4 linked regions of the Schizosaccharomyces pombe genome follow. The main gene of each other region encodes a partner of the protein of the gene in region 3 in a complex. Each region holds a gene or a part of one and is shown on either strand. Other genes may lie near its edges.

Region 1 (5,974 bases), on a different chromosome or scaffold from region 3:
AATAATTACATACAAATTTTAGGGCAATTGGCTGATTATTGATTAAATTTACACCTTGAAATAACATGCCAAAAGATCCTTCTCCAATCTTTTTACCAACGCGGTAATGAACACCAACGACGTTGGAGTGAGACGAAGTAGTTGACATGATGGTCTTTTAAATATTCCACTATGTTAAATGCAGTTTTCTTTAAAATGTTTTTGATTAAAAGAGCGTTCCGGTTTGTTAAATGTTGATGTCTTTCGCACTCGAAAGTTAAAGATGGTTACGGGTAGAAAAATGAAGTAGATGCCGCTAAAATCCACAAAGATTCCATGAAAAACACAAAGAAAGTGACAGTTCAATTATTTCGTTTACAGTTGACAACCTCAGAGGAATCCGAGGCAGCCAACACTGTACTTGGTAGTGGACAAGTAAGCAGTACTGGGTTTTCCACCGATATACCAAGCTAGCGTAGTATAAGGTTGGAAAGCTGAAAATAGATATAATGGTATACTTTCTAGTTTGAGTTAGTGGTAAACAAAATTTTATTTTAGATTCATTAGCTAACAAAATTGACAATGATCAAGGGACTCGGATGAAACCTATCTAACCAAAATTCTTTTATTATCTAATGGGTTTGTATGATTAAGATAAAGGTTAAATCGTATCGCAACTTAAACACATACTAATATAGCAAGTATTTAAATTAGTTTTTGTAAGATAATGATCCAACTTTACGCTTTCACGATTAAGTACTTTGGTAACTTCAGTCACATCTCCAAAGCGAGCGGGTGGGTAAATAGAAATGAGATTTTGAGGATCATATCCTTCAAACTTACAAGAAGAAAGCGAACCAGGTCGGATAAGTCCTTCATGAAAAAGTCCGTTTATGGTCACAGCCTCTAGAGTCCGATATAGTGCTGACATTCGGAATTGGGTTTCTATAATTGCATCGTTTTTACCCTGGGTATCCAAAACTTGGATCCAGTTGTCATGTAAAACAGCTCGTCTCCAAATGGTATTTTCATAAAATCTCTTGGCATCGTCCGTTAATCTGGTGGTTAAAAGAAGACGCAAAGCAAGATAATAGTCGGTAACTTCACCTTCTACAAGGTCCTCTCGACGGTATAAAGAAAAGCTGAGGTACTCCAACAGTTCAGTTGCTTCAACCACCTGTCCGGCAATGAACTTTTTGACTACGCGCTGCATAACCTGACGAGCGATAACAGGCGCTACCTTGGCACCAATCAAATCATCCACAACAGCTTCTACAAGCTGGTATTTTTTCCCCTGAGAACGAAGCCGTTCAACGACTGGCATAACACTTTTGGAAACCATTTTTTGAATATGTAGTTGCTCAAGCTTTTGTTCCACTAAAACCAAATCTCTGATATTTCCAGAGTTGGATGGAACTGCATAAAGAAATAATTTACTTAATGAAAGCTCAGATTCCTTTTTATCAACCAGCTTTTCTTGTTTAGTAGCCAACTGTAGCAATCTATGCGACGCAGCATCGTAGTCTCCTAACCTCATATCATGCATCCATGAAATCTGGTTGTAATCTCGAGATTTAAAAAATTGTTTCAAATAAGATTTGTTGAACCTGTCGCTATTAAGCAACTCTAATGCCATGCCATTTTCAACAAAATAGTCATATAATATAAATGCGAATTTTATACCAAAAAGATCAAGGTAATTGTTTAGTGCATCCGTGAGCTCATTGTCCTCATAAAGTTGATAGCACAATTCTACTAAAGAACGATAGTCTGAGTATTTTTCAGCGATTCGAATGGCACTGCTGCCTTTACCTATATCTGATAAAGTTTGAACCCAAAATCTGCGATTAACTGCAAAAGCTTCCTTGACATCTTGAATTTCACTAGCATCCTTACCACAACGTTGTTCTATCCATCTAATCCTTTCTGAGTACGCGTCAAAGCAAACCTCTGTCAAGGCCACTAATTGTACTTCTAAATTTGAAACGACATTTCTTAGCACCCCTTTATCCTTTATTTTAAAAGTATTCTCCACATCCGAGGTTCCTTGATGTGACTGGACAAGCGCTGACCGAGTAAGTTCAAACTGTCGACACAGCAAAACTAAAGTTTCTGGCGTTGACGTCCAAGGAACCTCTTCTCCAAAGGTATCAATACTTAGCTTATAAATCTTCTGGGACTCACGGCGATAAGCCAAAGCCGAAGATTGAATTGCCAGAATTACTTCATTAGCTTCCATAATTACATCAAGAACTTCCAATGGAAGTTCTTGAACTCGAGAACCTGAATCTATGCAAAATTCATGTGCTTGCGCTATCAGTTGATCAATGCTTTCAATATTATGCAAAAACCACTCTCTCAAAGCGTTATCCGACGAAGCACTTTGAGTGAGTCTATAAATTATGCGTTGAAAAATTAGGGAATGACTAACAGTACTAAATTCAGTATCGATAGTATTCCATAAATATCTAACAGAATTGCATTTTTCGCCCATTACTCTCAACTTGTATAGTACTTGACGATCAACATCCAGTGACATAGACCTAATATACCGGACAAGATTATTCAAAGAATTTAACCTACAGGACAGATGCTGCATTAAAGAAGCAAATAATGGGGGTAAATGAGTAGACCTTGAATTCAAGATGTCCATTCCAAGATCGACAATAATCCTTTCGAGTTCAGGCTTTTTGATGGAGCGAAGGTAATTGCAGGAAAAATCGATCGGATTACCAGGAAGGAAGGAGTAAAAAACAGCTTCTTCCAACTTGCTTTTTACGAGAGATTCGTTATTTGCAGGATGCTCCAAACTATGAACTTCTATTTCAGCGATACCAGAATAAGGGGTTGCTATAAAACATGATTCCGTAGGAATAGAGTATTTTCCTAAAACGTATTTGTAGCAAGTAGACATAAATATGCCGCCAGAGACATTAGTATTCATACGAATAACCTCTTCCCATGATGTTCTCGATACAATATCTTTATCATCCTCTTGGACGTGCACTATAATAACAGCGTCTGTTAAAACCACAAATAAAGAATTCCCTGATGATGAATAATGTAGCTTTGAAGACTCAAGAGATTTAGAAGAAAATGAATACAATGGATGAATATTCATTACCGAGGGTGAGGAAATGTCAGAAAAATCAAGAGAAATAATCATGTAACGGTAATTAATAGAATTTTTCCAACATACTAAAAAACTCACTAGATTTCCGTTTGTGGGGCATATAGTAAGGTCTAACACCTCAAGTCCGCTTGCATCGGGGCATCCTTCTCTCAAAACCTGCTTAAAAATAGGAGACAGATTCATACCAGAAACAAGCTTATTTTCCAACTTCAAATCATATATCTCTAGTAAACCAGATGCCTCAGCGACATACAAAAGATGTTGGTATGGAGAGAACAGTGGTGGGGATTTTAAAGCAATGATATGAATGCTAGGGTAGTTAAAAATCTTCATTTTCTGAAGAATAGTAGAAAAAGTACTAATATCGGAAGCAAATAATTGTACAGAAACGTCAGGTTGACCTGCAGGATCGCGCAGTTGAACAGAAAAAAGACGACCAAAATTGGTAGATATGATGAACTTCATGGGGTTTGAGCAACATAAATGCTCACATTTTTCTTTGGGGAGTAACTTTATCAAACTTTCCATTCCCTGGGGACATATATAAGATTGAGCGAGAGCATTCCCAATTGAAGTCCAATATGCTATACGACCAGAGATAGGCATTACAATCAGCAATCCAGGTTCTTTGTCAGAAGCATCAGAAGGGACGAAGGCTGTCAAGGCATTTTGCCCGGAAAAGCCATTTGAGTCCTCTTCAGGTAGCGGAAATGTTATAGTTGGAGGTTCTGCTGTTCCCAAGCTTTGACGATACGACAAAATAAAGCAAGCTTTTCGGGAATTAATTAATGCATAACCGATGTCTGTGTAGCATGATCCACTTAAAGGATGGTCTAAATTGAATAGAGATGTTAGTTACCTAGTAATGCGCACAGTGAAGAAATAAAAGCTTCGTACCGTTGATAATTTTAGAATTAAAATGTTTAAGTAGACACGAGACCTTGAAATTTTTAGATCTGAGCCAATCCAATGAATTATTATAGGCAGTGCTATCCAAAAGCGATTTCTCAACAGAAATTCGTTTCAAAGGGCTAAAAGATACGACTTCTTCATTTTTCCTTTTACCAAGGATAGAACTCATGACTATTTGACGATATCAGTACTGATACTGGCGGTTATCGTCTATTTGACTCCTTAATACCCTTAGGGATAGAATATGGCTCTGAGAAGGACGAATGTCGACGATTCCTACAAAGAAGGGTTTGAAATCAAAAGAACTTTACTTAGACTCCTATTTTTTACTCAGAATTAAATAGTTAAGCTACTGATAAGAAATTCAGAGTAAAATCAATATATCAATATTTCAAAATCGGTGTATATGTCATATACACTTTTTTCACAAATGTCAACACAGTTTGCTCTTTTGTAATTAATTATTTCTTTGCTTTGGTATATTTAAGGAAGTGATACTTAGGATATTGTCTTTTCCCGGAATGTTGTATAAAACAGAGGTTTTTAAAAAGTAGTTGCGTTCTTCAAGGTCAAGCTTAAACTACTTTTTTAGAACGCATGATCAATTTATATAAATGTTTCATGATTCCGTATTTGAATTTTTTTTATGAGCACGCCAATGGTTGGAAACATCAGATTTCTTCGTAAAATCGCACATCTGGTACAGAAAACTATAAAAGTAGTAGAAAGTTTGGGACTGGGTTGGAAACAACTGTAATAAAGAGAAAAACGCGAAAATACTTTATTTTGAAGTGTCTGAACTGCCGAATCGGAAAGCTATTTTTCATTAGTGTTGTAAATTATCCGAAGGACTGAAAAAGACCAAATTTTACAAGAAAAATAAAATTATTGTATTTTAAGATTTACTTTTGTGATCAATATTCAGGCTAATATCACTTAAGAGTTAAAAAGTTATCTAACTTGATGGCACGAATAAAAAAAATTTTTACTCAGGAAGAATTAAAACAAATCCCCTGTCCATATGATCACAAGCATACAATTGTGCGACATCGTTTAGAATATCATTTGAAGCGTTGTAACGCGCGTCCTGTTGAAAGGACCGATCCATATTACAAGAAGGACATAAATATCTCTACTTCAACAGATGCTTCAGAATCTTCCTCCTTTGAAATCGTCGATTTAAGCAAGGAAGAGTTGTCAAAATGGATTTGTTTGTTCAACAGAATTAGTGATTCTTTACCGACTCCTCAAAAAAAGGTGTTGTTTCACCCGGCAATGAATGCAAGACTGTATGTACGAAGTGCTTTCTCATTAGCTTTTTATTAAGAAGATGGTTGCAAAAGTAGAAACTAACTTCATTTTTAACAGTGAAGAGGGTACAAAAAAAAAGCATGCAATTCAGCAGGTATGTTCGACATGATTTCTTAACGGCAGTCAAAAGCATTAACCATTTTAGGCATCATTGTTAGGACATATGGAAAAACTACATTATTTTGACAACCAAGGATCTATATATTACGAATTCGGTGCTGGAAGAGCCGAGTTATCAAGATATGTTCAGCACTGCTCCCAACAAGAAAACGTATATATACTTATTGATCGTGATTCAAATCGAACGAAGCATGATAGCAGGATATTAAAAGATAGCATCAAAAATAACTGGCCTGAGCCAAAAATTATAAGGTGTAAAATTGATATTAAGGATTTGAAACTCGATTTTTTTGCTAGTGAATTTCGGAATAGTGGTAAACCTGTATTTGCATATTCTAAGCATTTATGTGGTGCTGCCACAGACCTTACCTTGAATTGCTTAAAGTCCTCCCCTCCTAATGCTCTTGTAATTGCCCTTTGTTGTCATCATCATTGCCGATGGAGAACACTTTCAACCTTTGCTAGAGAACAATTAAGTCATTGGGGAATTTCAAATCCACAAGAGTTTCAAATATTACG
Region 2 (5,918 bases), 3.6 Mb from region 3:
GGGATTCCCTTCTCGTCACATTGCTCTTGAAGCGTGAATTGGTCGTTCGCAAGCTTTGAGCTATAAAATCGATTTTTGATTTTGAATTCATTATTTATTTTGGGAAATATTTCTTTCGTTAATGTATTCGATTTCGCATCAATTCTACATGATCGAGAATTTCTAAGCGATCCATGCGATAGCTGTCGAATTGCGATCACAGGATTTAAGAGTGTTTGAAAACAACGTTCTCGAAAGAAAAATGGTCCTTTAAACAATAAGTTTACTCGCGATTTCATAAGCATCACTGCAAAGTATTATAGCCACAAGTTAGGACTTTCTAACTTGTAAACATACAGTAACGTAATAGAAGTCAAATTGCCTACGCTCTGTTTCGTTAATTCAGTATATTCCAAATTGGTGCTTATGTTTATGAGATAGAGAAGTTAAGTACATAAATGAAATAGTCATAACTTGACGAGTGTGTCATAGACTAAAGTCAAATTCAGGGATTTACCTATTAGTTAACACCCAATCTCTAAGAGATTTATATCGGATAGATTGAATTCGAACTTACAAAACTCTCACACCCATAGCTAGTAGAGAATAAGGGGAATTTATCAAATATATCTAGAATTATTTAATGTTCTTTTTTACTTATGTTGTATGCTACTAAATTTTGTGATGATTTATAGTCAAAATTAATATCTTTGGATTATTTTTACCTTTTGGTACTCCTACTCCTTTAATTCTCTTTCAGTTTTAAATGAATAGATTTTTAGCTATTAGAGATAATTTCAACCCATTTGGTTAATTCTTCTTCTGGATATTTATTGTCGATCCTTTAATTCTAGCATAGACCGGTGGATCACATCCAGAAAATGTCTTTATCACAATTGATGCCATTGCTACAATCTTCTACTTTAGCTAATTCTTTATCGTGATACCAGTGTATGTACTACCGCTTAATTACTATAAAGTTGCGGGTGTTCGTACAAGCACATATCACCGCAATTGTAATATTGAATCAGGTATAAGAGATCTTGGCTATTAGACTTAGAATTGGTTGTATCTGCAATAAAAAAAATAAATTATAAATTGCATGCCAATGAACAATAATTCACCCTTGCACGTAATTAATATTTATTAAAATGTAATTTACAATTTAACGTATGGTTGAAAATATTACATGTTTTATTTACTAAGAATTTGCAAAATTTAAAAATAAACAAAACTAGAAAATTAGAAAACTATTTTATTAAAAAAGATTGAAAGGCTGTAAATTAAGACCCTAAAGATGAGTACTGTTAATTTAAATAGATTTAATCTCTTAAAACAACAGCTAAAAAGTTACAGGTATACAAAAAATAATAAAAAAAACTAACAATAATCTAAGAAAGGCTTCTGATATCTTGAAGATCTTTTACTGTTGTATGTAATTTCACAAATAAAATAGAGAATCCATTTAAGCTCTTGAGTTTTAAATGAATATTTGATTCCTTTTTTATTATTATGAATACAAAGGAATTGCTCGATTAATAAAAACTATCAAATTGTTTAGCTTTCTTCATCCACAATCAAATGATTCTATTTTATTAAGGAACTTAATCTTCAAGAAGAAAATTCAGTTTTACATTCCATCTCCCTCTACCCTAAAAAGCTAAAGAATTACAAATATACTCGTATTTACGCGTTTCTCATAAATTCGTTGTAGGACTGGCCTGTCTTACGCTAACTCGTGTAGGTCGTTGTCTACGATACTCAACCAGAACTGCCCCCTATTGTTAGCTATTTGTTTGGTATTTCTACTGGTATTACCGCTACCAGTAAAAAATAAAATCAAAATATGAATGAATTAAAGCATGCGGTAGTTCCGATAGACTTACAATCTTTTTGTCTGGAAGGAACTTTGGCGTTGTGGGTTCCAGCTCTCGAAAACGACTCGGAAGACGATTCTGAAGCTATAGAAACAGCTGATGATAATGAAAAACTTTTTAAAAAGGAATGTGTAGCATATGATGCAGGTGTTTATACCTCAAATAAAAGCAAAGGTTCACAAACTTTACGATGGAGTATATTCCAAAACAGAACACTCACTATCTTTGATGTTTCATTAAATTCTAAGAAGGAGCCTTTATCAAAATTTAATGTGAAAATTCATTTTCCATCCAACGTAATGAAGGACGGTGTAGCTTTCTCGTTCAGTGAGCATTCCGACACGACCATTATATATGCTATTACTCACGCTCGCGTTTTGTATTATATTAGATTATCTAAAACTTGGTTCCAATTACCGGACGCTCGCTTAGACGACGATTGGTGTCTTTGTTACCGACCAATATCCTTTCTGAATCAAAAACCCGATTTAATGGCCGCAATTAGCACGTCTGAAATTTGTGTAAGCTTTTTCAATGGAGGTTTAACAAAGATTATATTAAATCCAAAAGACGCTAGTCACTACGAACAGCATATTGATGATTCTAGTTATTTGTTTTCCCTAAAAAAATATCTATCACTTCAGGCATTTAAGGCAGATTACCGCTCTCCTAATACTATTATTTCAATGATTTTTTTGTCTACCTATAATGTTCTTGTGATGCTATCGCTTGACTATAAGTTAAAAGTTTTGGATTTGTCTACTAATCAATGCGTCGAAACCATTGAACTGTCACAGACTATACTTCCTCTACAATCCTTTCCTTATTTAACTTCAGATCACACCACTAATTCTTTCATCGCTCTGTATTACCCAGATAATTCTCATGGCTCTTTTTCAATTTACAAACTTAACGCAAACGCCCACTCTTTTAAATTAAATGTTGTCATCGAGAAGGGCATAATTCCTCCTTCTTTACCAGACGATGAGTTCATACCATGGATGCTTTCTGATTTTCAACTGATATCGTCAGAGGGCTCTCAATCTAAATTTTTGCTCATTATTGCTTGGAAAAGCAACTTAAATACCGTTATCCAAAAATGCAACCTTAGTCTAGATCAGGACGAGAGTTTTTCATGCGTTTGGAGTCACTCTTTGGATAGCTTTTCCCTCATAGAAAAAACCTTTTTTGACGTTCCAACAAACATGTCGTCTGGGGATATCTCAGAGATTTGGCTACAACACATTTTTGCACATAATACATCTATTGAGTCTATACAAGTTGCTCTTTTAAGCTTTCAAAACAGCTCCTCGCAAGTTTCAAAAAATAAACTGGATAAATTTGGCGCACTTACTATAAGTGAACTTAAAAATGCCGTTTTGTCGTCTATAGTTTCAACGATCCAAATAGAGCCAAATTCAGATTTAACTGGATACGATTATTATGAATATAAGCGGCTATTATATAATGAATGGGAAAGGTTTGCGAAACTTGTTGCATATCTGGATCATTTTGGAGATGAAATATTAAGTATTAACTTCGATCCTTCGAACGCTGTTACATATATCAATTATGCAAATAAAGTGGCTTTTATTAGGGATCCTTATCTCATTGAATCCTTTGACGAAGAGCCGTTGACCAAATTAATTAGTTCCCTTGAAACAGATGATCCTTCTCTAATTGAAGGTTATCAAATTCTGGATCTTGGTAGGAGTTTACATTCCTGTATGTCATTTTCTACTTTATCTGAAATTAGATACTCATTACGAGAACTAGTCCAGGATTTGCCATCTTATTCTTTATTTGATACATTGTGGGTATTTTATGACAAGCACATATATCCCAACGTCGATCCAGATTATATCAGTACTTTAATTGATACTCTAGTTTCTCTTGAAAACCCGATGCGCGACATTGATTCTCTTATCCAACGCTTAAGAAGTTTCGATATTTACAACCATTCCGCTCAATCCCCTTCCTTATTTTTGTGTGCATCGGTAGCACGGGTTTTGGACAGTATTTTGAAAAAGTTTCAAGTCTCTATTGAAGGATTTATTTTTCTACTTTCTTTGATAACTAGCCAGCAGGATTATGAGTTACAATCCAAATTTGCAGGATGTGATAAATTATTTCTTTCTTTACTAGAAGATTGGCGTCTTGTGAGTTTTCTTTTAGAGAATTCTGCACTTTTGCTAGAAAAATTTGAGGAGGAGGATGTTGATTCAACAAACTGTAATTTAAATACTATGGAAGCTTTAGCAAGTGTTAACACAGCCCTTCAGTTTTTTTCCGCTTTGAATTATTCCGAATGTTTCTCAGAAAGCCAAATTTCACCTTTACATGCTACCGTGATATCGTCTTTGTCGGCAATCTTTATAAGGGACGATACGGAAAATGATCTGGTCACTGAACTTGTAGAAAAGTTGTTTCTATTCAAACAATATAATGCATGTATGCAATTAATAGGGTGGCTTAACTCTGACCCAATTGCAGTCTACTTGAAAGCACTTATTTATCTCAAATCGAAAGAAGCTGTTAAGGCTGTCCGATGTTTCAAGACTACTTCTCTAGTCCTTTACTCACATACTTCTCAATTCGCAGTTTTACGGGAGTTTCAAGAAATTGCTGAAAAATACCACCATCAGAACCTATTATCGTGTTATTACCTTCATCTATCAAAAAAGCTGTTCGAGGAGAGTGCATATATAGATGCATTAGAATTTTCTTTATTAGCAGATGCCTCGAAAGAGACTGACGACGAAGATTTGTCTATTGCAATTACCCATGAGACTTTAAAAACCGCTTGTGCAGCAGGAAAGTTTGACGCTGCTCACGTTGCATTGATGGTTTTATCCACTACGCCTTTGAAAAAGTCATGTTTACTAGACTTTGTAAATCAATTAACGAAACAAGGTAAAATAAATCAGCTTCTAAATTATTCAATGCCAACGTTAAGACAGGACGTCGACAATTTGCTTGAGCGAAAGGCCTTTCAAATGATTAACGTTGAATCACAACCATGCTGGTATAATATTTTGTTTAGTTGGCGGTATAAACATCAAAACTATCGAGACGCAGCAGCAATTATTTATGAAAAACTGAGCCGGTATATCTCTACTACAGAATTAATTGGAAAAAAGGAGAGAACTTTTATAATAGAACATTATTTGATTGTTTTGAACACTCTGGAGTTGCTTCCGAAAGAAGATACATGGATTCTTGTGACAGACATGTCCGTGGACAAGGAACCTGACCCTAACTTTCTTCCACAAAAATTACTTACTCTAGATGCAATTGTAGCAGAATATCACTTACAGTTGAAGGATGTCGCTGTTCAAGTTACAGCTGAAATGTCATCGGCCATGAATATCGATTTATAAAGGCAACAAAGAATTATTTACGCAGCTTAACCTTCTCATTTAGAAAAATCCAGAAAAAAAGCAATATGCTTGGCAGAGTTTTAGTAATTAAATCATCTTTAGTTTCATTGAGGCGATGGGTAGCCATAAATAACTAACTTCTTTCTATAAAATTAAATTCTGAATATAAATATACTTTCGATAGCATTGGTATTTACATATCTTTAACGAATTATAATTCCGACCTTTTTGCTGCAGCTTGCCGCAGTTTGCTAATTAGTGTTGTCCGTTGGGAAATATTGTTGAGATACGGCTAGTATCGGCAGAATGTTGGAACCAACAATAATTATATATTTGAATTTTTATTTCCTTATTTTATAACATTTTTTTGAAACTTTTGGTTTCAGATTAAATAATTCTCTATTAATAATAGTGTACGGAAATTGCACGCCGTGTGCCCGAATTTAAATTTGTCGGGTCCCGAAGGAATGTACAAAACACCAAGACCTGCGAAAACTGATTCTCAGTGAATTGGGTATATCGGTCTTGTAAAGATCTAATTAATGAACGTTTACCAATGTTATTGAACTGAAAATATCGTTATGAGGATTTTTACTCTTGGAAAAGGCCGAATTTCACGAGGGTATGCTCGGCAAGTTAACCCTTCATTATTTGCCAAGTACAGCTACTGTATTGCCAATAA
Region 3 (5,111 bases):
TCCAATTTTTTACTATAAAAAACCTGAGCTGGTTTACTAGTTATAGGCGCGGAGACGATTACTTCCTTTTCGTTTGTATCTATCTCCTGTCTCTTTAAGCTTTCAAAAGCATCAGAAAGAAAATGTTGGGTTTTCTTTTTATTCTTAGATTTTATAGATTGTTTTGGGATGGATTCATCTTCGCTTTTGGGCAACCTTGGTAATGAAGTAGATTCATTTTCTTTCCCTGCTGTATTTACACCGAAATTTTGTAAAAAAGAGTTATTCGCTTTTTTAACCCCACTTTCCTTATTTTTAGACGCTTTTTCCATCAAGCTCCCTCAAGCAAATTGCACTGAACGTGAACATTCAGTGGTAGTAGAAATAGCTTGTATACGATGGGTTCTTACTAAGTGAAGATTGGTGTCAAGAACTCAAATATTTCTATTTGCTTACTTTAATGTTTTTTTGAGTATAAAAGTAAACCCTACACAATATATCCACTAACACAGTTTTCGAGTCGAAATTTGTAAAGACTGCTCAAATCGACTATAGGATTTAAGAACTTGCGCAATGGTCCTAATTAACCGAACTTTCAAACAATTTTATAAGAATGTTTGCAACAAAGTGTCTGCAATTCTGGATTTAGTTCATAGTCTAACTTTTTGGAAAAAAAAATTTATATTAGAAATAGTCAAAAGTTATGGAAGTTTTTCAGCTTAGTTTTAAAATCAACGTATTAAGATAAACTGGTTATCAATGCGAAGATGATACCACATTTGCAGCATCACTATTAGTTTTCGAATTGAATCTCTTATACATTGACACTTATAAAGAAAAAAGCCCATTAGGGGTTGAAAGGCTACATTCTCCGGCCTTTCCTAAATAAGAAACATATTCAACCAGTCTGCCACTTTTAATAAGACAATGGTAAAGTTTTAAATCTTCACTGGCAACTTCGTTAGCCAGAGCAAAACAGCTATCATAGTCCTCAAGGCTAAAATAAACATTATGCAAACCGAGAATTAGTTCAGGCACATACAAATTCCGAATAGTCATAAGAGTTTTATAAAGCAAAGGATCATCATCTGGTTTCAGCTCCAATGTAGACGGGTGAAGCCAGTTAGCTTGAAGTAAGTCTGTGAAGGACTTTACACATTTACGAGAGGCAAAATTCAATTTTTTTTTCCAAACTTTATAAGAAGTGCTAGCTTTCGTAACTGCAGAATCTTCAAATACTTCTTGTTTAGAAAGCTCTTCCCATTCTTGATAAAATTTAAGTGCTCTGCAGAGAGCTCGATAGTTCATCAGTTCATACGCATCTCTAAACTTAGAATCGTTTTCGGGTTCACCATCGCTAGAGCTTAGCGTATTCAAAGCATCAGAGGGAATATGTGTATAAAGATCGTATGCACTATTTAGCTCGCCAATGCTTAAAAAGAAACGATATACAAGGTTTGCAAATCGGAGCAGCTCATCTGTCTGTGAAGTGATTAATAACCATTCAAGGGTGCAGATGAGCTTTTTATAAGATGGTTCAACTGGCTCCTCAATAGATTTTAAATATACTGTGTGAACTTCTTCGGGAGAAACAGAGACAACTTCATCATACACATATTCAACAGCTAGTAACGCCGCATGATTAATATCTAATGAATATTTTTTTGCTAATTGAAGTTGTTCTGATCTTGCACTTTCTTCATCAACAAGAATAAGGAATCGAGAATAAGCCTCGTACTGCACTTGATTTGATAGGTACTGAATATACAATGGAACCAAGTTAACTTTTTTAGCACTAGCCAATAACTCAATATACGCTTGGATAATAGAGTCAGAAGTATATTCATCCACAGCAAGACCTGAAATCTTCAAAAATAAAATTATGTGTGTCAGTATTCGAAGAAGAGGAGGTGTAACCAAATCCCCAGACTCAGGGGCATTTCCAGTCCGAATTGCTTCCAACTGTATGTGAGCAGAGCTCAAAATTTCCGAAATTTTATTACAAATGATATGAGTTTGAAGTTTAATTAGGGGATGTGATGCTTCTTCTTGGATTGAAGCAATAGAGCTGTTACTCAGCGAATTAAAAATCAATTCGGGAGTTAAGCCTAAACCACTATCCACTGGAGGCAATTGTGTTTCTGTTTGAGGAGCCTTAGAAGAAAGATAAACATCCAAATTGTACTGAGTCATACTATTATAATAAGCCCACATCGCATCCTCCCAAGTTGTGCACACATCAAGGACGGAGTTCAAGTCTCCACATAAAGCGCCATAAAGAGCGCGTTCATAAGAGTCTATCCGTTTATTTTTTGTAAGTGCTAAACATGATCTGCGCAAGAGTTCCTTTCTTTTATTACCGGAAGTCTCGGATTGCAAAACATCGTCGATGAGGTTATCTCTATACTCCAAAATTCCTTGAAGTGAAGCAGAACGCCAATGATTACCAGTTCTCCTACACAGCTCTAATAGTTCTTCAAAGCTTCCCGAACGAAATAAGCAGAATGCAGTATGAAAAAACTGGCGTTCAAAGTTATCATCTCGTTCGTCTAAACGTTTGTCGTCTCGTATATCTGCATCAGGATCGAGATTGGAAACAATCGTACCTGAGATGTTGGAAGAAAACCTAGAACCACCTCGGTTTTTCATTTTTATATCCTCTCTTGTATAAAACCATCGGTTTCCTCGAATTTCAATTGAAGGAGGATCGGAGGAATTATCACGAGCCCAATTGAATACGATCTATAGAATATTAACAAACATATAATAAAAAAAATACGTACATTATTCTCGAATGCCTCGGGATTTTGAGAGTAATATTCCTCTTCTAAAACGGCACGAGACGAAAAGGCATGCGACTGAATATGCCCTTGTTGTTCAGATAATCGAAACCTAGTAAAAGTTGTTAAAAACCAAGTTAAACGAATGGCAGCGAAACGAACATACGAGTAAAGACGTTGTATTAGGTCCCATGTACGAGATTCTAAATCCCATAACTCTATCCATTCTTCATCATCTTCTTTCAAACATTTTTCAAATCTATTTATGTTAATACAAGTGTTCATTCAAGTCAAAGTACAGAACGGTAACCATACTTTTCCTGACACAACTCATAGTATGCATATAGCAGCCCATCCTTTGAGAATAAATTGTCTTTCTTTAAAGAAGTGATTATATTAAACTTTTCGTATTCGTCTCCAAGTTCAACGCTTACGGCGGTTTCTGTACCATAGTTAGATATATACTTTACTTGTACGTGATAAGCTTTATACCATTTGGGCCTATGCAAACGACATTTTGATTCATCTAAATGGTTAAAATAATGTTAAATTTATTTAATAACAAACCTCGGCCTCTTCTTCGTCCATTTCAATTAGTTCTTGAATACTAGAACTCTTCGTATGTTAGTACTTCTGTGTTCCAAGCAGTAGAAATTGACAATAAGGGTTAAAATCTTATTATTAACTTACTCCATTTTTTTTGTGTCCAAGGACATTCAGAGTAGCATTATTCAATGCATTCTGATGCATGGTTTTGAAATCCAACCTCGTATGGGTTAAGATCGTACTATAGCAGCAACAAGCCATCCAAGCAATGTAATTTCAACAGACCAATTCTAATGCTATATTTCAGTTATATGCATACTATTTTCTTTTTTTTACATATTTATATTCATTTGTTTATCTACTACTTCTTTATTTCGAGAAAAGACATAAAATTTATTAAGTCCATGAATTTTCTTGTCAACTCTGCACACTAGTAGAATGGAACTAACTGTTTCCACGATCAAATGTCGAGCCCAATCAATTACTTTTCTCTCATTTACCATGTAGCTTAGATAATTTTATTTACTATTACATTTTTACACTTTACTAGCCTAAATGAATAATAAACGATGTGTATTGAATAAATTTAATATATCTGTAGAATAACACTAATTGATGTTTACGCTAGTATTGAACAATTCATAAATACTCCGATTGATTTACAAATTTATATACAAGAAGACTATCCTTCTGTAATGTTATCAATAAAAGAATTGAAAAGGAAAAGTAACACGAATCAGAGAAACCAACAAAGATAAAAGGGATTAACCCTCGAAAGGTCTATATGTAATAATTATGGACACCTAATATCATAAATGTCTAAAGACAGACATAGTTAGGTATTTTTTGAGAATTAAATTTAAGGCAAAGCAGGAACGCTCCAAGGGTTGTTAGGTTCCTTGCCGTATTGGATATCCAAAATCCATTTGCTGATTTCAGAAGTGATGGGACCAGCTTCCTGACCCTCAGGCATGGGAATTTCATACTCAGTACCCTTGTAGTTAATAGCCTTGACGGGGGAAACAAGGGCAGCAGTACCAGCTCCAAAGACTTCCAAAAGGCGACCTTCCTTAGAAGCTTGAGCAACCTCTTTCATGGAATACTTGCCCTCAGTAATCTTCCAGCCTTTAGGTGCGAGACGTTCACGGCAAATTTCCAAAATAGAATCACGAGTGACACCAGGTAAGATCATACCGTCAAGAGGGGCAGTAATGATTTCTTTTTCGCCATTCTTGTTAATCCAAACAGTAAAGCAGTTCATAGTACCAACCTCAGTAATGTAGTCCTCGTCTCCATAAAGCCAGAGAATCTGAGCATACCCCTTCTTGGCAGCCTCTTTTTGAGGCAAAACACTAGGAGCATAGTTACCACCAAGCTTGTAGTGACCAGTACCGCCAGGCCAAGCACGAACGGATTCTTCGGAGCAACAAAGCTTAACGGCCTTGAAACCAGAGCTGTAGTAGGGGCCAACGGGAGAGGCAATAACATAAAGCATAGCGTTGTCACAATGGTGGACACCTAAGGCTTCATCAGTACCAATGAAAGTAGGACGAATGTACAAAGAGTAACCACGCTGATCAGGGACCCAACGGTTTTCGTGAGCGACGAACTTTCTGATAATTTCAGCAAGCTCAGCAGGGTCGAAGGAAGGAAGAGATATACGAGTACCAGTTGAAAGCATACGCTCAGCATTCTTGATGGGACGGAAAAGACGTGGGACACCCTTTTCGTCACGGAAAGCTTTCATGCCTTCAAAGCACTCAAAACCATAATGGAAAACGGAGGAAGCAGGGTGAAAGCAAAGTT
Region 4 (3,739 bases), on a different chromosome or scaffold from region 3:
TCAACACCGCATCTCAACTTTGGATGCTCAACCTACTGGTACTACTGGATCCGTAATCGTTATGGTTACAGGTGAGCTTTTGGTAAGTTATAAGATTGATGTTACTTATTCTATTCATTTTTTTTTTTTTTGCTTTGCTCTTTTTTTAACCTTTTTGTAGTTGGATGAAGAGCAAATGGCCCAGCGCTATAGCCAAGTTTTTCACCTTGTTAACAATAATGGTAACTACTATGTCTTAAATGACCTGTTTCGTTTGAACTATGGTTGAAGAATATCATAGTGAAAATATTTAATACAAGTATCTTGATTATCTGCAATTTCATTTTCTTTTTTTTTATGCTTTTGTAGCGATTACCGGATTTTCAAACTACAACCTGTAGCAGATATAGCTTTTTGAACCCATCGCTTGTTTAGTTCGTTAAAACAAATTTTCGAATTGAACTCTACCTAAAAGTTTACATTAAGACTTAGTCTAATTTCGAAGTTTTACGCTAAATGAAAATTTAATCTCAAAGCGAATGTTAGTTCACTTGTCTAAAATTATAAATTAAAACCAAAAATTTATAAAGTAATATCTCCTTTTTTACAATTTGGTTATGATCTAGCTGGTAAATATGAAATAATTTAAGAAAGGAAACCAAGCAAGGTCGGCCATTCAATGTATCTGTTACATTAAAATTGAACTAAGTAAATCACAATTTTTCAGGTTTTCTGTCACAAGTTAGTATCATATATTCATGAGGCCGAAAGCATCTCTGAACTTACTTTTCTAAAGAAACGACAGATATGCATTTAAATAAATTTGCATAGGACGCTTTCCATAAACGAACGCACCCATCATCGCCCGAGCTGCTCAAAATAGTTCCTGTCACATTAAAACGGCATCTCCACACTTGACATTTATGGTTATCATATTCACCAATGAGTTCCACCTTCAAAGAATTTAGATTGAAATTTGAGTCTTCTGTCATTGAATTTCCAGCATCTTCTTCCTCTTGAAATACTTCTTCGCAAAGGGTTTCAACTTTAAAAATACGAACATTCCCATCTTTGCATGCAGTAGCTATCAGGTAATAACTACTGCCCATACTCGGAGCCCAGCAAATATCACGAATAAGATCTGTATGTCCGGGTAACTCAGCAACTTTTTTCCATTTTCCATGAGAGTTCTGCTTGTAAATGTAAGCATCATTCATGCATCCAACAGCAATGTACTGTTCTCGCCAACGTGATGGGCACCAATTTACACAAAACGCTGGTTGCTCGTTGCGCGAAGGAGGGGACGGCATTAAAGCAATTTCATTCATTAAAGTCCAATACGTTAAATTACCGGGTTCCATGGCCTCATAAATCCGTAAAGTAGCATCCGCCGAAACTGCTGCTAATTTGCAACCATGTTGAAAAGGGCAAAATGATATGTCTAATACGGCGCTACGAGCATCCATTAATTTTGCAACTTCAACCCATGTCTTGGATTCAAAGTTCTTTTTTTGTTCCTCATAGATCCGAACCCCTCTGTCTAAACTGCAGACAGCTAGCACTTGACCAAATGAAGGATGAGCCCAAGCAACCCTCATTAGACTAGCATCTCCTGCCCTCCATTCAGAAGTGATTGCCCATGTTTCAGTATCATCATTAAAATCGTAAACCTTGACTCGTTGATCAGCTGAACATGATACCATTCGACGGCCATAAAAGTCTTGACAATTAGCTACAAAATCTAAAATAATATTTCCTTACCGTATGTAACATCATTCACTAAATCTTGGTGATTTGTTTGAATCGTAGTAGCCGAAATATCATCCATGTTGGTAGAGACGAGGTGAGCTAGTAAAGAAGGGCCAAAAGATTTTATATGTAAATTATCGGTATCAGCGCAAAAAAAAAGAGGGTAAGTCTAGAAAAAATGAAAGAAGTAAATTTTTTGTAAAGAAGACTTTTCGCATGCTTAACTTTCGGTCCGACAAGTTAACTCATCGAAGGCGACAATCATAGTAAAGAATATACAAAACGACTAAAATAGTCAGCAAATATCTACTGCACATAATCTTCACTCAGTTCATTCTTAATAGATGGTAATAACAAATTTGTATACCACATTGACGTTATTTCACCTGAAGTGATTTGGTAAGCCAAAACGATAATAATCTAATATGTTCATTGACGTTTAAAAAATGAAATGAAAGTTTCAAGTACTATACAAATAGTCTTCCGGACTACTAAATTATTTAGTTGTTAGTGGTATGTATACCTCAGTCAATAGTTAGTTATTAATTACCTTCATTTACAAATATGAAATTATGTGCTTTTTTTAATGGTTTCAGTATAGTTAAAAGTATTATTGATATTTTGTTTAAGGTACAAAATCTTTTGATAAAATTATTGATTTAATTAATGCAAAACTGAAGTAGGTAATTTGAAAATATTAGTCCCCCATTAAAAAATATGCATATATAATGTTAATACTTTTTTTGTAAAATAAGAACTTCACAATAAAATGCTGAGGAGCCGTAATCAAAATTAGCAAAAAAATTCATAAAAACATTTTATTTGATTTTGCAAAGAGACAAACGATAGTAGTAACATTGATATCATTAAAGTGTTGGTTTTTTGAATTTATAAGCTTGTCTATTTATTAAATGCAGTCAGTGTTTAACAAAATAGTGACACTACCAGTCAATTCTTTTCAGTTTTGTATTTGCAGATTATCACAGATTTCAAAATGACTTTTGTGACCCATAATATGTTCTTGTCTCATGTGTGTTATTATACTACAATACTTCAGGACTTAATAGGCAAGTCATGTACAAGTAATAATGATTGTAATTGCACGTCAGTGCCACAAGTATAGTATATCTTTTAAATGGGAAATTTTTCAATTTTTTTTATTTTTTATACACTGAATGTCAATTGGCAATGCCATTTTGACTCTACGGAATTTTGATTATATTGAGTATTGTAAAACGACCCTTTTCTAAAAATAAAAAACAAAGCCTATCCCTTACTCGCTAATCTGAGTTAGTTCGATCAAGGCCAGAAATGGAACAAATCAGGCCGTTCTCGGATAACTACTTGGATCGTCTACGTACAGTTGAAGAGGATGATTATAATGACTGGGAGGGTTCATCTGATACAAAAACGTTATACTCAAGCGTATCAGACAGCAAAATAGGGCATAAAAAAAGTTTTCATAAGGATGGCAAAGGCTTATTTAAGACATTGCGAAATTTTTTGAGTTTGAAAACTAATAAGGTACCTAAAAACAGAAAGTTTTCATTACTAAAGGGTTCTAAATGTAACAATGTGGAAATTAAGGTGTTTATAAGGAATAATGATAAACAATCAAACGGTGCGTCAAAAATAGGATAATGACACTTTGTTTTCTTAAATTTTAACAGCTGTAGTTCATAATTTTAAAGGAAAAGATTCAATTCATGAAGCATGGAGCCAATATTTAATTTTTGATAGCATGGGCTTGAGTCCCCTTATACACATATCTGGAGAAGATAAATACAAAGTTCTTTGCTTATTTAGTATATGGAGAAGAAAACTTGGCAAATGCTCAATTTTTACTGTCCATGACCCCGATATCCAAAAGAAAATAAAAAGCATACTGTCATACTTATGGGAACTTAGTAATACAAATGACCCTCCTCATGTTATCGTGTGGCATACCGCAAAAGGCACTAATGTCATGACAATGGGACCTTTGGGACTAAAAGATGAAGATCTTTGGAAT

Evidence for each region.
Region 1: nup107 (region 3) and nup132 share a complex: the UniProt entries of both Schizosaccharomyces pombe proteins name them as parts of the npc107-120 complex.
Region 2: nup107 (region 3) and nup120 share a complex: the UniProt entries of both Schizosaccharomyces pombe proteins name them as parts of the npc107-120 complex.
Region 4: nup107 (region 3) and seh1 share a complex: the UniProt entries of both Schizosaccharomyces pombe proteins name them as parts of the npc107-120 complex.

Annotation. Positions count from the first base shown.
Region 1 is NC_003424.3:2,775,590-2,781,563, reverse strand, and holds nup132 (nucleoporin, WD repeat Nup132), read right to left. Parts: upstream 4,277-5,974; 5' UTR 4,194-4,276; coding exon 4,010-4,193; exon of another isoform or gene 3,954-4,009; intron 3,946-3,953; coding exon 641-3,945; 3' UTR 511-640; downstream 1-510. Other genes in the region: serine/threonine protein kinase (CK1 family) Cki3, read right to left, coding at 14-148; tRNA 2'-O-methyltransferase Trm13, read left to right, coding at 4,988-5,313, 5,393-5,429, 5,481-5,974. UniProt on the Schizosaccharomyces pombe protein: Functions as a component of the nuclear pore complex (NPC).
Region 2 is NC_003423.3:4,014,675-4,020,592, reverse strand, and holds nup120 (nucleoporin, WD repeat Nup120), read left to right. Parts: upstream 1-1,742; 5' UTR 1,743-1,825; coding exon 1,826-5,236; 3' UTR 5,237-5,367; downstream 5,368-5,918. Other genes in the region: Fe-sulfur protein Isa2, read right to left, coding at 1-284; Sre1 cleavage-activating protein Scap Scp1, read left to right, coding at 5,818-5,918. UniProt on the Schizosaccharomyces pombe protein: Functions as a component of the nuclear pore complex (NPC).
Region 3 is NC_003423.3:438,467-443,577, forward strand, and holds nup107 (nucleoporin Nup107), read right to left. Parts: upstream 3,538-5,111; 5' UTR 3,510-3,537; coding exon 3,450-3,509; intron 3,375-3,449; coding exon 3,327-3,374; intron 3,286-3,326; coding exon 3,252-3,285; intron 3,202-3,251; coding exon 3,075-3,201; intron 3,019-3,074; coding exon 2,926-3,018; intron 2,872-2,925; coding exon 2,763-2,871; intron 2,722-2,762; coding exon 808-2,721; 3' UTR 533-807; downstream 1-532. Other genes in the region: rhp1602 (DNA translocase Rhp16b), read right to left, coding at 1-311; branched chain amino acid aminotransferase Eca39, read right to left, coding at 4,165-5,111. UniProt on the Schizosaccharomyces pombe protein: Functions as a component of the nuclear pore complex (NPC).
Region 4 is NC_003424.3:2,397,489-2,401,227, reverse strand, and holds seh1 (GATOR2-SEACAT complex WD repeat subunit Seh1), read right to left. Parts: upstream 1,820-3,739; 5' UTR 1,808-1,819; coding exon 1,741-1,807; exon of another isoform or gene 1,700-1,740; coding exon 766-1,699; intron 712-765; coding exon 693-711; 3' UTR 509-692; downstream 1-508. Other genes in the region: nuclear import protein Nxt2, read left to right, coding at 1-82, 161-268; glm1 (glomulin), read left to right, coding at 3,040-3,349, 3,405-3,739. UniProt on the Schizosaccharomyces pombe protein: Functions as a component of the nuclear pore complex (NPC).